Linked DNA regions of Saccharomyces cerevisiae S288C. The protein of the gene in region 2 purifies or fractionates together with the protein of the main gene of each other region. This does not show direct contact. Each region holds a gene or a part of one and is shown on either strand. Other genes may lie near its edges. The genes, in order: SPG5 and RPN9.

Region 1 (3,218 bases), on a different chromosome or scaffold from region 2:
GGATAATCGTCCCTCAAAGATTTACCCATAACATAGTCAAAAGGATCATCCCTATCAGGTATTCTGTAGTTGACTGGTTCTCTTGAACGCATATTTCTCCTTCTTGTAAGTTCATCTTGTTCTTCTGACGTCATGTGGAGATGCGGGAATGCGGGAGAATGTGGAGCCCCCTCCTTCAATATTACAGGAGGGTCACAGTCTATATCATCCTCATCATCCAGGACTTGAATCAAATCATCGTTATTACTATCATTATTGCTATTCTTACCGGTGTTATTAGTAATATTTTGCTTCGCACCAGTGATGGCTAATGCCTTAGTGACGGTAGTCGCAGTAGTACTTGTCAGGTTTGAATTCCTGGAAGATGTATTGTATTCCAAGGGGCTGGGCAGAATGCTTGATATGATATTATCATCTTGTGAAGAAACTTGACTGCGACCTTTACTTTGATCTTTTGACATTCCATCTTTTTTGGCTTTTATGATCTCCTTTTCCAGACTATCTATTCGTATCGACATATTTGATAACTGAGGCCGTATATCCCTACTTAACTGTAGCCTTTTAGCGTCCTCTGACAATGATGTGGATTCGATAATACTACACTTCTGTAGCAATAATTTCGATTGCTCTTTCAATGCCATAATTAGGGAGCCTTGAAGGCGGATCACCTCTAATTTTATATCATTTTCGAGCTGTTTGCCTATACTTGAATTATCGATTACGCTTTTATTGTTATTTCTACTACCTAGATTTCTGCTACTGTCATTTTCGACAAGAGAACTAGCCATGTGCGGTCGAAAAGTATTGAAATTGTGAGTTTTCGAGCCATTGGGCGTCCTCGGGTTCGATACAACACTTGTGCTGGCTGGTATATCAACCATGGGTACGTCAGCATATTGATTCGATGTGGCAGTGTACGAGAGCCATTCTGTATCGTTCGACAAAGTTTGCATGACTTCATGTTGTTTCGTAGCAGTATTCGTTGGTCCAGATGCAGGAATGCTGGTTATAAAGTTTGTTGTTCCTGGTCCACATTCATCTTTGGATGGCGTTGTTGGTGGCGAATTTGTCTTAGGCCTTTTGTTCGCGATGTGCTTTTGGATAGCCTGGAATACGAAATCTTTGTCTTCCTGTAAAGTCGCCGTTTCCTTTAACCATTTGTGCTCCCTTCTTAAGTTATGTGACGGCTTCGTCACCATTACCGCCTTGTGTGTACGTGTATGATTTTTTAAATATATACAACAATAATCTGTATTTTTTCCTTTCCTCTAGCCAATGACTCCAAGCTGGCTGATAAAAACAAACTAAACGGTAAAGCCACAAATCCGAAATGTATCACCAATGATCACCCAGCCTGCTAAGTGCCCTCTATTGATCCGTATATCAGCTTTTAGATCAGGCTCGAGTTTCTTGTTATATGTGCATTGCAAAAGCATAAACAAATCCTGGCAGCCGAAGCCGGGCAATCCACTTCGAAACGCACGGCTGAACTATATAAATATAAAGGACATGTGGAGAGAAGCTTCTCTTCCTTCACATTTCGCATTTCATGATCTAAAGTGGTTCTTTCACAATAGAAGAGCACCAACACGAAATATGGCTGTCGGTGGTAATAACTGGAGCATGTGGCTGCGAATGTCACGGGTCCACCTCAGGCAGATCACGAAGTCTCTGGACCGAACGCTGATCAGTTTGAGCCATGGGAATTTTTCCCACCAATATAATCGCAATATTTTTGTCACTTGGTGGAAGAGCCTATTTGAGGCTTCTACAGCTTTTAGGAGGGCAAGTGGTTTAACGGTATCTCCTCTCACGAGGAGAGGAATCGCAAGGTTTGACCATTTCAGACCTGTTCCCAATGTCAGTAAATTTGCTTCTTTTCCCAGAGTGCCCAAAGGAGCCCCAAGGGGCCTTTTTACCAACTGGAATATGACTACATCAAAGAGATTATTAGGGCAGAGAGCTTATTCGACTTCCAGTATCAAATTTACCCAAGAAGCCGTGAATAACATGACTATATCTTTGAGGTGTTTTTTCAACTCACTAGGCGGATTAAATCAGTGCTCCCACTCTAATTCCTGCAAAGCTTATCAGAATGCGTCTAATGTTACCTCTAAACAGGATCACGTCCAACCAGTTGCCCTTAAGAAGTTATCTCAAAAGGATATCAATTTCATTCGTAATTTAGAACTATTTAAGATAATGAAGACCCAGAATGAAGTCGTTGATGAAACAAGCGCATATTACATGGAAAAACCAGGTTCCTATATTGAATTTACCATTTCAGAATTTAACGTTAATGGGACATTCTCCGCACCTTTGTCATTTTTAGATCCTTCTTTGTTAGCGGATTTGGATGAAATGATTAGAAATTACAAATACGAATTAAAATCAATATACAGTAGTGTTGACATGATCTTGCAGAATTATGGATCATTGCCGATAACTTTTCATCGAAATAAGATTCGAATACATTTTCCAAACTCAACTGTGGTGGAAACAGAAAAACTAATTGCAGGTCTGAATATTGCTACGGGTGTTATTTACGCAGATACGTCTCCCGATATCAGTCTAGAAGGTACAAATTTGAATGCTCTGGTTAATGTTGACAATTCAGGAAGCGTATGGTCTTTTGTTAAGGAGCCCTCGTTTCCCTCTAGGAGCGCTTTTTCACCTATTTTATCAGATGCATCCTATGATACTTATGAATTGGTCTAGCAAAGACGTTGTTTCATCGCGCTATTACCAAGAAGGTTACTTTACTTGTTCTTGCACATGGACGCACGTTGTGTGTTCATATATATATATATATATATATATATATATTTGTGCTTGTTTTCATTGTCTCTATAGTTAATACATTCTATTTTTATCGTTATATTTGCATTCTCTTCGCATAAAAACTTCATGAAAATTCGGCAGAAAATAAGCCATATATGTACTTTATCCATAGGCAAAGAAAAGCACTTAACGAGAATATACAACAATTGCACTAGTACTGCATGTATATACTCTTATGATTATAGCGGCAAGAAAACAAATATAAACACACTAACAGATGAATTCGAATGAAGATATACATGAAGAACGCATTGAAGTTCCACGAACTCCCCATCAAACCCAGCCAGAGAAAGACTCTGATCGCATCGCTCTCAGGGATGAAATATCAGTACCAGAAGGCGATGAAAAAGCATATTCGGATGAGAAAGTAGAAATGG
Region 2 (11,109 bases):
CAAGGGACCCGTTGCTCCTGAGAATTCAATAAATGGTTAACTTGTACTTGGATAGCGTCATGAACGTCAGGAAATCTGTAAGTATCTGACTTAACATACACCGGTATTACGAGATGAATATCTTGGAATTTGTTATTTTGAAGTGACTCAATGTAATTTATTGGTAGTGATGCTCTATAAACTGTAGTTAGCTTGTACCACAGTGGAACACCTAAAAAGAGATAAATGGCAACAAAGCAAAAACCAACCCATTTTCTTAGATTTGCATTGGACATTATTCTGGCGTGTAATCCTTATCAAAGAGCGGCTCTTTTATCGTTATTTATCCCTTATTAATATTAATGCACACGTACACACTTCAATTAGTACACGAGTTCCCTTTTAAACTTTGTATCTCTGTTATTAAGCTCCACGTAAGGACATCTTTCATTATTTATAACTTCTGGATTACACATCATTTAATACGTAACACAGATTTAACAGGCCATAATAGTACTTATTAGTTTCTTCAACTTAACTTTATAGGAGTTCAAATTCTTTGAAATTAGCCTGACCCAAACTAACAACTATATTTGTAGCTTTTTGCATACTCAAAGGACTAAGATGATAGGATATTGTATATATTCAATTGCACCTCTTAACTGGTACTTTATTTCTTGTGAATGTTCGATATCTTACCGCTTATTCTCTCATTCCATATGAGAACTCTCGTATAGAAAGGGAGACCTTTTTTCACTTGAAAAATGACAATAAGATATCCAAAATAGATCGGCTTGGGACAAAAAAATGGTTAAATTACAAGATTTCTGTAGTTTCTCAACTTTCTAGTATTAATTGGGGGAGGGGAAACTGGTCTACTGCTAGATCAAGTTTCCACTGAGTTATCTCACAAGATAACAAAAAACGGGGTTCATTATCAGTATAGTCAATTATATTATCCTGCCCGTATGTTGAAGAGGAGATTCTCGTTAGAAACTTTAAGTAAAACTTATTTTTGTTAATTTTGCAGCACATTCCATTCAATAAAAGATAGTTTGGTGCAGGGAAATAAAAAAAATTGAAAGACACATAAGAATCTAGAGGTAGTAGTAGTAGTATTACACGAAAGAAGGTCTAATTAAAATCCAATACAGAAGTTTTAACGACTCATCAATTTGGAAATGAAATTCCGTTGTAAAAAGGATGTTAAATGTTATCATGGGATTATTCTATCTACTGGAGTGAAGTCGGGACTCGCAATAAACAATTCTGTTTTCAATCATATACTTTGGGATCTTCTAACACTAAACTTATTAATAAACAAAAACTATACTTAATAAAAGGGAGGGGAGGGAATGGGGAGGAAGTTCTTCAAAAAAAAAACTTTTTCAACATTTAATACGATGTTTTCCTTTTTCATTTGTTCTCAGTCTCATATTTAAGTTTTAAAACAATTCATATCTTTTGTTAATTTCTCCTTTTTTTTTCTCAACTATATAAATGGCTTACCTGGTTGGTGATCTTTCACGTGGAGCATCTCTGGTTCTGTATGCATCTCTTGGAGGACCATAATCGCCTCTTGGACCATCATAACCACCTCTTGAACCACCGTAGCTACCTCTTGGAGGACCGTAATCATTTCTTGGACCACCATAGCCACCTCTGGAATAACCACCTCTTGGACTATCGTAACCACCTCTAGGACTATCGTAACCACCTCTGGAGCCACCATATCCGCCTCTGGAGTAGCCACCGTAGCCACCTCTGGAATAGCCACCGTAACCACCTCTTGGACCACCAAATCCACCTCTGGGGCCACCGAAGCCGCCTCTGGAGAAACCGCCTCTGAAGCCACCTCTGAAGCCGCCTCTGAAGCCGCCGCGACCTCTGAAGCCACCTCTATTTGATCTTCTGATTGGTGGAGGATTGTCATCTCTTTCAACAGTAATGACAGAACCTCTGAATTCAATATTGTTTAATCTCTCCAAAGCTTCGACCAAGATTTCTTCACTAGGGAATTCTAGAGCACCGGTACCATCAAAATCTCTGGTATTGACGCTAGAAAAAGTAGTTTCTAAACTATTTTCCCTGGCTAAATCTTTAAGATCTTGCCATGAACAACCTTCTGGTAAGTTTTTCATGGTGATACGGTATCTCTTGGCAGGCAATTTAGAGTAAACAACTTCCAAAGGTTGGTTAGCAAAACTCTTACCGTGAACTTCTTCAATGGCTTTGGCAGCGGATTCTGCTTCTTCAAATTCAACAAACGCGAAGCCGTTCAAGATCTTGACTTCCTTCATTGGTCCAAATGGACCAAAGATTTCATTCAACTCGGATTCTTGAACGTCCAATGGGAAAGGTCTAACAAACAATCTGGTGTTCGAGAGTTCTCCTTCTTGACGGTGGTGCATTGGTGGGCGACCGTGCATGTGTTCACCTGGAGGAGGAGGAGGATAATATGGTTGGGGTTCAGGTGGTTGGTGGTGCTGGTGGGCCTCTTGGTAGTCTTGGACACTGTGGGATTCTTCGCCTTCATAAATTGGAGCATTAGATGGTGGAGGAACGTCATTTTGTTCTTGTGGAGCTGGTGGTTCTTGTGGAGCAGATTCCTGTGGAGCAGATTCCTGTGGAACTTGTGGTTCTTGTGGAGCATCTGGAGCCTGTGGTGGTTCTTGGTGCTGTTCTTCGACTGGGGCATCGACAACAGATTCTGGTAGTTGCTCTACGTGAGTTTCTTGAGCTTCAGACATTATCCTTATGGTTTTAGCGTAATTGCTTAATTTTGATTCCTTCAAAAGTATATATATTTAGAAGAGAGGAAATTATTTTTCTCATGTCCTTTTTAAATCCCTTTGGGTGGCGAAAAAAAAGAATGTAAAAAATTTTGCCCTTCGTTTACAGTGATAAATATACGGAGGGGCTCTATGATAAAGGTAGTAGTAAATCATTGAATTGTTGAACAAGCATTGACAGATATGATAACAAGCAATTGTAATCAATAAGCCACCAATTAGAAGGCTACTCAAAAGAATAAAGTTACTATAAAATATACTGCGGTATATATGTTGCGGTTTCAGCGATTTGCGTCCTCGTATGCCCAAGCACAGGCCGTTAGAAAATATCCAGTTGGAGGTATATTCCATGGTTATGAAGTGAGAAGAATTCTACCGGTTCCGGAGCTGAGACTCACTGCGGTAGATTTGGTGCACTCCCAGACAGGAGCCGAGCATTTGCATATTGATAGAGACGACAAGAATAATGTGTTCAGCATTGCTTTTAAAACCAACCCTCCAGATTCCACTGGGGTCCCTCATATTCTAGAGCATACAACGTTGTGTGGGTCTGTTAAATATCCAGTTAGGGACCCTTTTTTCAAAATGCTAAATAAATCTCTAGCTAATTTCATGAACGCTATGACAGGTCCAGATTATACATTTTTTCCCTTTTCCACTACGAACCCTCAAGATTTCGCTAATTTAAGAGGTGTTTATTTAGACTCCACCTTGAATCCGCTACTTAAACAAGAAGATTTTGATCAGGAGGGTTGGAGGTTGGAGCATAAAAACATCACAGACCCGGAGAGTAACATTGTTTTCAAAGGTGTTGTCTATAACGAAATGAAAGGTCAAATATCAAATGCCAATTACTATTTCTGGAGTAAATTTCAACAGTCTATTTATCCTTCCCTGAATAACTCCGGCGGAGATCCTATGAAAATTACAGACTTGAGATACGGCGATCTCTTGGATTTCCATCACAAAAATTACCATCCCTCCAATGCAAAAACTTTCACGTACGGTAACTTGCCATTGGTGGATACGTTAAAGCAATTAAATGAGCAGTTCAGTGGTTACGGGAAGAGAGCTCGAAAGGATAAGTTGTTAATGCCTATTGATTTAAAAAAAGACATAGATGTCAAGTTACTGGGTCAAATAGATACTATGCTTCCACCGGAGAAGCAGACAAAAGCCTCAATGACGTGGATTTGTGGAGCGCCACAGGACACATATGATACCTTTTTGTTAAAAGTACTGGGGAATTTATTAATGGATGGCCATTCTTCTGTAATGTATCAAAAATTAATAGAATCAGGAATTGGTTTGGAGTTCTCCGTAAATTCAGGTGTTGAACCAACTACAGCAGTAAATTTGCTAACTGTTGGTATACAGGGCGTGAGTGATATTGAAATATTTAAAGACACTGTAAATAATATTTTTCAAAACCTGTTGGAAACAGAACATCCTTTTGACCGCAAGCGTATCGATGCCATAATTGAACAATTGGAATTATCTAAGAAGGATCAAAAGGCTGACTTTGGACTTCAATTACTCTATTCTATACTACCTGGTTGGACAAACAAAATCGATCCTTTTGAGAGCTTGTTGTTTGAGGACGTTTTGCAAAGATTTAGAGGTGACTTAGAAACGAAAGGTGATACTTTATTCCAAGATTTAATCCGTAAATATATCGTTCATAAACCTTGTTTCACGTTTTCCATTCAGGGATCTGAAGAGTTCTCTAAATCTTTGGATGATGAAGAACAAACAAGACTGAGAGAAAAAATTACTGCCTTGGATGAACAAGACAAGAAAAACATCTTTAAACGTGGTATACTGTTACAGGAGAAACAAAATGAAAAAGAAGATTTATCCTGTTTACCTACCTTACAAATAAAAGACATCCCAAGAGCTGGTGATAAATATTCAATCGAACAGAAGAATAATACAATGTCTAGGATTACTGATACCAATGGTATCACATATGTCAGAGGTAAACGTTTACTAAATGACATAATACCCTTTGAACTCTTCCCATACTTACCTTTATTTGCTGAATCGTTAACTAACCTAGGGACAACAACAGAATCCTTCAGTGAAATAGAAGATCAGATAAAATTACATACGGGTGGTATATCAACACATGTAGAGGTTACATCTGACCCTAACACCACAGAGCCTCGCCTGATTTTCGGGTTTGACGGATGGTCTTTAAATTCGAAGACCGACCACATTTTTGAATTCTGGTCTAAGATCTTACTAGAAACTGATTTCCATAAAAACAGCGATAAATTGAAAGTTCTTATCCGCTTATTAGCATCTTCAAACACATCTTCTGTAGCAGATGCCGGTCATGCATTTGCAAGGGGCTATTCTGCCGCACATTATAGATCAAGTGGAGCTATAAATGAGACCCTCAATGGTATTGAGCAACTACAATTTATAAATAGATTGCACAGCTTGTTAGACAATGAAGAAACTTTCCAAAGAGAAGTTGTCGACAAGCTAACTGAATTGCAAAAGTACATTGTTGATACCAATAACATGAATTTTTTTATCACCTCAGACTCTGATGTTCAAGCGAAAACAGTAGAAAGCCAAATTTCAAAATTCATGGAGAGATTACCTCATGGCAGCTGCTTGCCCAATGGACCAAAGACTTCAGATTATCCTCTTATTGGATCCAAATGTAAACATACTTTGATAAAATTTCCTTTCCAGGTCCATTACACATCCCAAGCTTTATTGGGTGTGCCGTATACACATAAGGATGGCTCTGCACTTCAAGTTATGTCAAATATGCTAACATTCAAACATTTGCACAGAGAAGTCAGAGAAAAGGGTGGTGCTTATGGTGGTGGTGCTTCTTATAGCGCCTTAGCGGGTATTTTCAGTTTCTATTCCTATAGGGATCCTCAGCCTTTGAAGAGTTTAGAAACCTTCAAGAATAGCGGGCGTTATATACTGAACGATGCCAAGTGGGGCGTCACAGACCTTGATGAAGCTAAATTGACAATATTTCAACAAGTAGACGCACCTAAAAGTCCCAAAGGAGAAGGCGTGACGTATTTCATGAGCGGTGTTACAGACGATATGAAACAAGCAAGAAGGGAACAACTCTTAGACGTATCTCTCCTGGACGTTCATAGAGTCGCCGAAAAATATCTACTAAACAAAGAAGGGGTGAGTACGGTCATTGGACCTGGAATCGAGGGGAAGACTGTTTCACCAAATTGGGAGGTGAAGGAACTGTAGATATATAATTTAATCCTGTAAATATACTGCTTCAAAGTTTCTTGCCGATCTATACTCATCGCTTGTAACGAAGTTAAAATTTTTTTCTTTCACTGAGTGTGGAAAGTGAAAAATTATCACGATGGCAAAAGAGAGGGAAGAGAAGCCCTAGTTACTCGCTGTATTGAAAGGATCAAAAGACCAAAGACCACCAGGAATAATGAGTGAAGTTGCACCAGAGGAGATCATAGAGAATGCAGATGGATCTAGATCTATCATTACATACAAGATTGAAGACGGTGTCAAGTATAAGATTACTCAGAAAGTAAAAGAGGTTAAAGTATTGGAAAAAGTCCATAAATCTGTTGCAGAAAGAAAAAACTGGCATAAATATGGCTCTGAAAAAGGGTCTCCAGCAGGTCCAAGTGCTGTTACAGCAAGATTGGGTGAAGAAGTAGAATTAAGATTGAGTAGGAACTGGAAACAAGCTGAAGAAGAAAGAATACAAAAAGAAAAGGCAAGTCTCACAAAGACCGGTCTACAATGTAGATTATGTGGTAACGACCATATGACCATGAACTGTCCATTCAAGACAATTTTAAGTGAACTTTCAGCATTAGAAGACCCAGCCACTAATGAAGGCGGTGTCGAGGCCGCCAGTGAAGAGAAGGCAGGCCAAGTTGGCGGAGCTGGTTCCATCCCAGGGCAGTATGTTCCACCTTCTCGTCGTGCTGGTGCAAGAGATCCTTCATCCGATGCTTACAGAGACTCTAGAGAACGTGATGATATGTGTACTTTGAAGATTATGCAAGTTAATGAAAATGCCGATGAAAATAGTTTGAGAGAAGAGTTATTGTTCCCATTCGCACCCATTCCAAGAGTTTCTGTCGTTAGAAACAAAGAAACAGGTAAATCAAGAGGTCTCGCCTTTGTTACCTTTTCGAGCGAAGAAGTTGCCGAACAAGCTTTACGTTTCTTGGATGGTAGGGGTTATATGAATTTAATTTTACGTGTTGAATGGTCCAAACCTAAGGTTAAGGAATAGATGCACAGAATATGCTCTGCACTTGTTTTCTAATGTTACTCTTCTCATATAAAAATTGTAGATATTAAGAAAGAAAGTATGTAAACTAATCAATCTATACCTAAAAGAATATTGTTCAATATTCTATAAAGCACGCACGGCATGGTAAAATTTTTAACGATTGTAAGATTACAACAAGTTGCAATCCATTCAAGCTAAAAAATCAAAGCAAGGAAAAGCTCAGAGGCTGTCGTGAATATGTCAAATACCGTAAGAGCCATTTCACCAGATATAACACTATTCAACAAGACATTGACATTCCAAGAAATCTCACAAAACACTAGAGAGGCTGTCATATACATTCATGGAGGTGCATGGAACGATCCTGAGAATACGCCCAATGATTTTAATCAATTAGCCAATACCATCAAATCAATGGATACTGAGTCAACGGTTTGTCAATACTCTATAGAATACAGGTTATCACCAGAGATCACAAATCCAAGAAACTTATATGATGCTGTGTCAAATATAACAAGGCTTGTTAAAGAAAAGGGATTAACGAACATTAATATGGTGGGACATTCCGTTGGAGCTACCTTTATTTGGCAGATATTAGCTGCACTCAAAGATCCTCAAGAAAAAATGAGTGAAGCGCAATTGCAAATGTTGGGACTTTTGCAGATCGTGAAGAGAGTATTTCTATTGGATGGTATATACTCGTTAAAGGAACTGTTGGTAGAATACCCAGAGTATGATTGTTTTACAAGACTTGCCTTCCCTGATGGTATTCAAATGTACGAGGAAGAGCCCTCGAGAGTAATGCCTTACGTGAAGAAAGCCCTTTCTCGCTTCAGTATTGATATGCACCTAGTGCATTCTTATAGCGACGAGTTATTAACGTTAAGACAAACTAATTGTTTAATTTCTTGTCTTCAGGATTATCAGTTAAGTTTCAAGTTGTATTTGGACGATTTGGGTTTGCATAATGATGTTTATAAGAATGGTAAAGTTGCGAAGTATATTTTTGACAATATTTGTTGATAGTTGATTTTATTTCTGCATTTATATATATGTGTGCGTGTGTGTTTTATATATAACTGCCAATGGCCTAAACCCAGATGGATTGGCCACGAGCTTCCATTTTTTTGCCCAGTTTTTCTACTTGATCGTTCCATTCAACCAGTCTGTCCTTCATCTTTGTAATTTGGTCACCACTTATGATTCTTGGTTGGACCCAGGAGATGGTAACGAGTTCATTTACTTGGTCAATAGAACCCTTTAATAGACCCAAACTTATGGCTCTCATGACCAGGTGTTCGACATTATCCTTTGGTAGGTGTGTAGCCTTTGAAATATCTTCAAATGAAAGCATCCTAATATTTTTGACAAAAACTGTTTCAATTAATGTCATTAGGCAAATTTTTTGTCGTAAAAATGATTCATGTTGAGCCAATATAGGAATCTTTGATATTTGAACTTTTATCAATGAGTCGAATTTATCAAAATCACCAACGGTTAGAGCATTTAATAATTGGAAAAGCCAATCGTAATTGGAATCGTTGACTATAGTTTCCATTATTGGATGGTGTAATAGTTCGCCAAAATTATAGATTTTGTCACCTAACAATGCTGAGATACTCAAATCATAGGCCAATTGTTGACGTTCGGCTAAAGTAATGCTTGTAGATGGTTCTAAGGTAGAAAGGTATAATAGACTTGTGTAGTAGAAAGAATTGAAATCATTTTTAAATTTAAAATACTGGGAATTTGTAGAATAGAAGCTGTTTGTTATCCTTAATGGAATGGAATCCTTTTTATCCAATGTCTTTTCCAAATCATCTAATAAATCTCTTGCCTTAACGAGGTCGTTCTTTAACAGGTAAGTTCTAGCAATTTCGCTATCTATCAACAAAATACCATCACCATGGTCTTTTGATCCATTATTTCTTTGTTTTTTAGAGTCCAATTCTTGAAATTGAGCCTTCAAATCATCCAAATATTTTAAAGACTCATCGAAATCCTTAGAATCCTTCAAAGAGGCAAGTAGATACTTTACTACTGACAATTGGTTGATTTTATCATAAAATTTAGAAACGAAGTTATCATATAATCTGAGCCTCAATGGTGTAGATTTAGCATCATCAAAAAATTTAGTCAAGGATTCGGACAATTGGAACCACAATTTCTCTTCATAAAATTTCTCAAATTGTTCGAATAAAGGATGCAAAGAGGGATCTGCCTCCATGCGGAGAGTGCTTAATATGGTGTCAATTTCATGATTATTAAACATCTTGCGAAATATAATGTGGTTTCCTCGCGTGTGCCCACTGTTTGCTTTTTGGTACTTAATAGTTTCTTCAATCTAGGTCTAGCTTTTATTTGTTCTTACTTTTGCCACCGGATGAAAGCGGGGAGCGGGTAAGAATGAAAATGATAATAATAGGATAAATGAATGTGTGTATTCAAATTTTTCTAACGTATACGTTATATGTATATATATATATATATATATGTATATGCTATTTGCAACACGATGCGTGACGGTAATGCTTTTTATAGGGCCTCGTCGATTTGTAACTTTGCCAGTTTCCAATTCTTCAGACATTCTTTGATCCATGCTTTGAAGCTAGCTGCGAAAAGTTTCAAGATCTTTCCAATGGTCAAATTAATATGGTTATATGTATGCATTAAGCTGTTGTATGACGAATTGTTAATTTCTAGCATGTCTGATATACAGATTGATAGACAATCTTTCAATTTGGATAAATCTTGGTTCAACTGTTTGATCTGTTTAGATCTTTCTTGTTCAGTCAATTGTTTGATTTCTAATTTATTGAGATTCATTGTTGGCGTAGACGTTTTATAGTTTAGTTTACTTGCGCCTATATGAATTTCGTTTTGGTGTCCACTGGAGCTTGAATTTGAACTTGACTTCGATAGCGATCTTACGTCCTTTTTAACAAATGTCAGGTCAGCAGCCTTTGTATCTTTGTAATTTTCATCTGTCAATATAGTCGACCGCGTTAAACTTTCATTAATCTTCTGCAGTTGGTTTTCAATCTCAGTGAGACTCGAAAGTTTCGTTTCTTTTTCGATAATTAGCCTCTCTAATATTTTAAATTGCAAAAACTTTAATTTCTTGAAATTTAGAACTTTGAATGACTCATTTAAGAACTGCAATAACTCATTAATGGGGTCCTCAAGAATAGAGGTGTACTTTTCTATTAAGATCTCGGAAGAAATGTATATAACATCGAATGAATGGCCTGTCTTTTCAATATGACTAATAATTTCCATCATTGGGTTGTTTGAATTGTTTTCAGATTCGCGAAGGCTGTTGGGCATGGTTATGTCATTTTCCAAACTAAAAGCATTATAATATGCGCCTAATTCAGCAAAATACGTGGACAAGGAGTGGAAATGAGATTTATTTGATCTTATGTTTTTTAATAAATGGGTGATTATTCGCTTATAATTTTGGAATAAATTTTCAATATGTGTAAATTGAGATTCGTTTTGTAAAATTTCTGTTGGGAGGTTGGAAATTTCATTATGACTTTTTACTGTGATGTGTTGTTGCCAAATCGAATTATAGTTTCTCAGAGACGAGTTGGATGGAATAGGTAAAATAGAATGAAGGGGGCTTGGTTTTGTTGGGCTTAAAGGTGGAGCTAAAAGGTTATTCAAAGGTAGTATGATTATCGGCGACGAACTTAAAACATCTTTCCAATTAAATTCAGGGTTTAGAAATTTTTGAAAAACAATATCGTTGCTTATTTCTTGAATGTTCAGACAGTTAGACAAGAATGAATTGAGCATTTTCTTCCTGGTGGAGATAATTTTGGAATCATTTGCTGCGTTTATGGGACTCCATATGTATTTGAGAAGAGAATGCTTGGATGGAATGGGTGGAATAATTATCGTAGGAAGGAGTCTAGTTAGAGATTGCCTCAAAGAATGAAATTCAGAGTACCTTCTGATAATCTTGTTGTTTTCATATAGAATTACGTAACCGATAGCGTGTTTCCCCCATGGATCTTTGAAATCGCCGGCATCAATGATTTGGATCTGCTGTGTCCCATTCATATCGTG

Evidence for each region.
Region 1: the proteins of RPN9 (region 2) and SPG5 purify together in Saccharomyces cerevisiae (affinity purification with mass spectrometry, with the first as the bait; one large-scale study listed by BioGRID). This does not show direct contact.

What each region holds. Positions count from the first base shown.
Region 1 is NC_001145.3:644,060-647,277, forward strand, and holds SPG5 (Spg5p), read left to right. Parts: upstream 1-1,596; coding exon 1,597-2,718; downstream 2,719-3,218. Other genes in the region: ATP-dependent DNA helicase SGS1, read right to left, coding at 1-1,199; GYL1 (Gyl1p), read left to right, coding at 3,059-3,218. UniProt on the Saccharomyces cerevisiae protein: Required for survival at high temperature during stationary phase.
Region 2 is NC_001136.10:1,320,403-1,331,511, reverse strand, and holds RPN9 (proteasome regulatory particle lid subunit RPN9), read right to left. Parts: upstream 9,308-11,109; coding exon 8,126-9,307; downstream 1-8,125. Other genes in the region: GPI-anchor transamidase GPI17, read right to left, coding at 1-275; mRNA-binding protein NPL3, read right to left, coding at 1,485-2,729; CYM1 (pitrilysin family metalloprotease), read left to right, coding at 3,042-6,011; TIF35 (translation initiation factor eIF3 core subunit g), read left to right, coding at 6,211-7,035; BNA7 (arylformamidase), read left to right, coding at 7,273-8,058; SNX41 (Snx41p), read right to left, coding at 9,571-11,109. UniProt on the Saccharomyces cerevisiae protein: Acts as a regulatory subunit of the 26S proteasome which is involved in the ATP-dependent degradation of ubiquitinated proteins.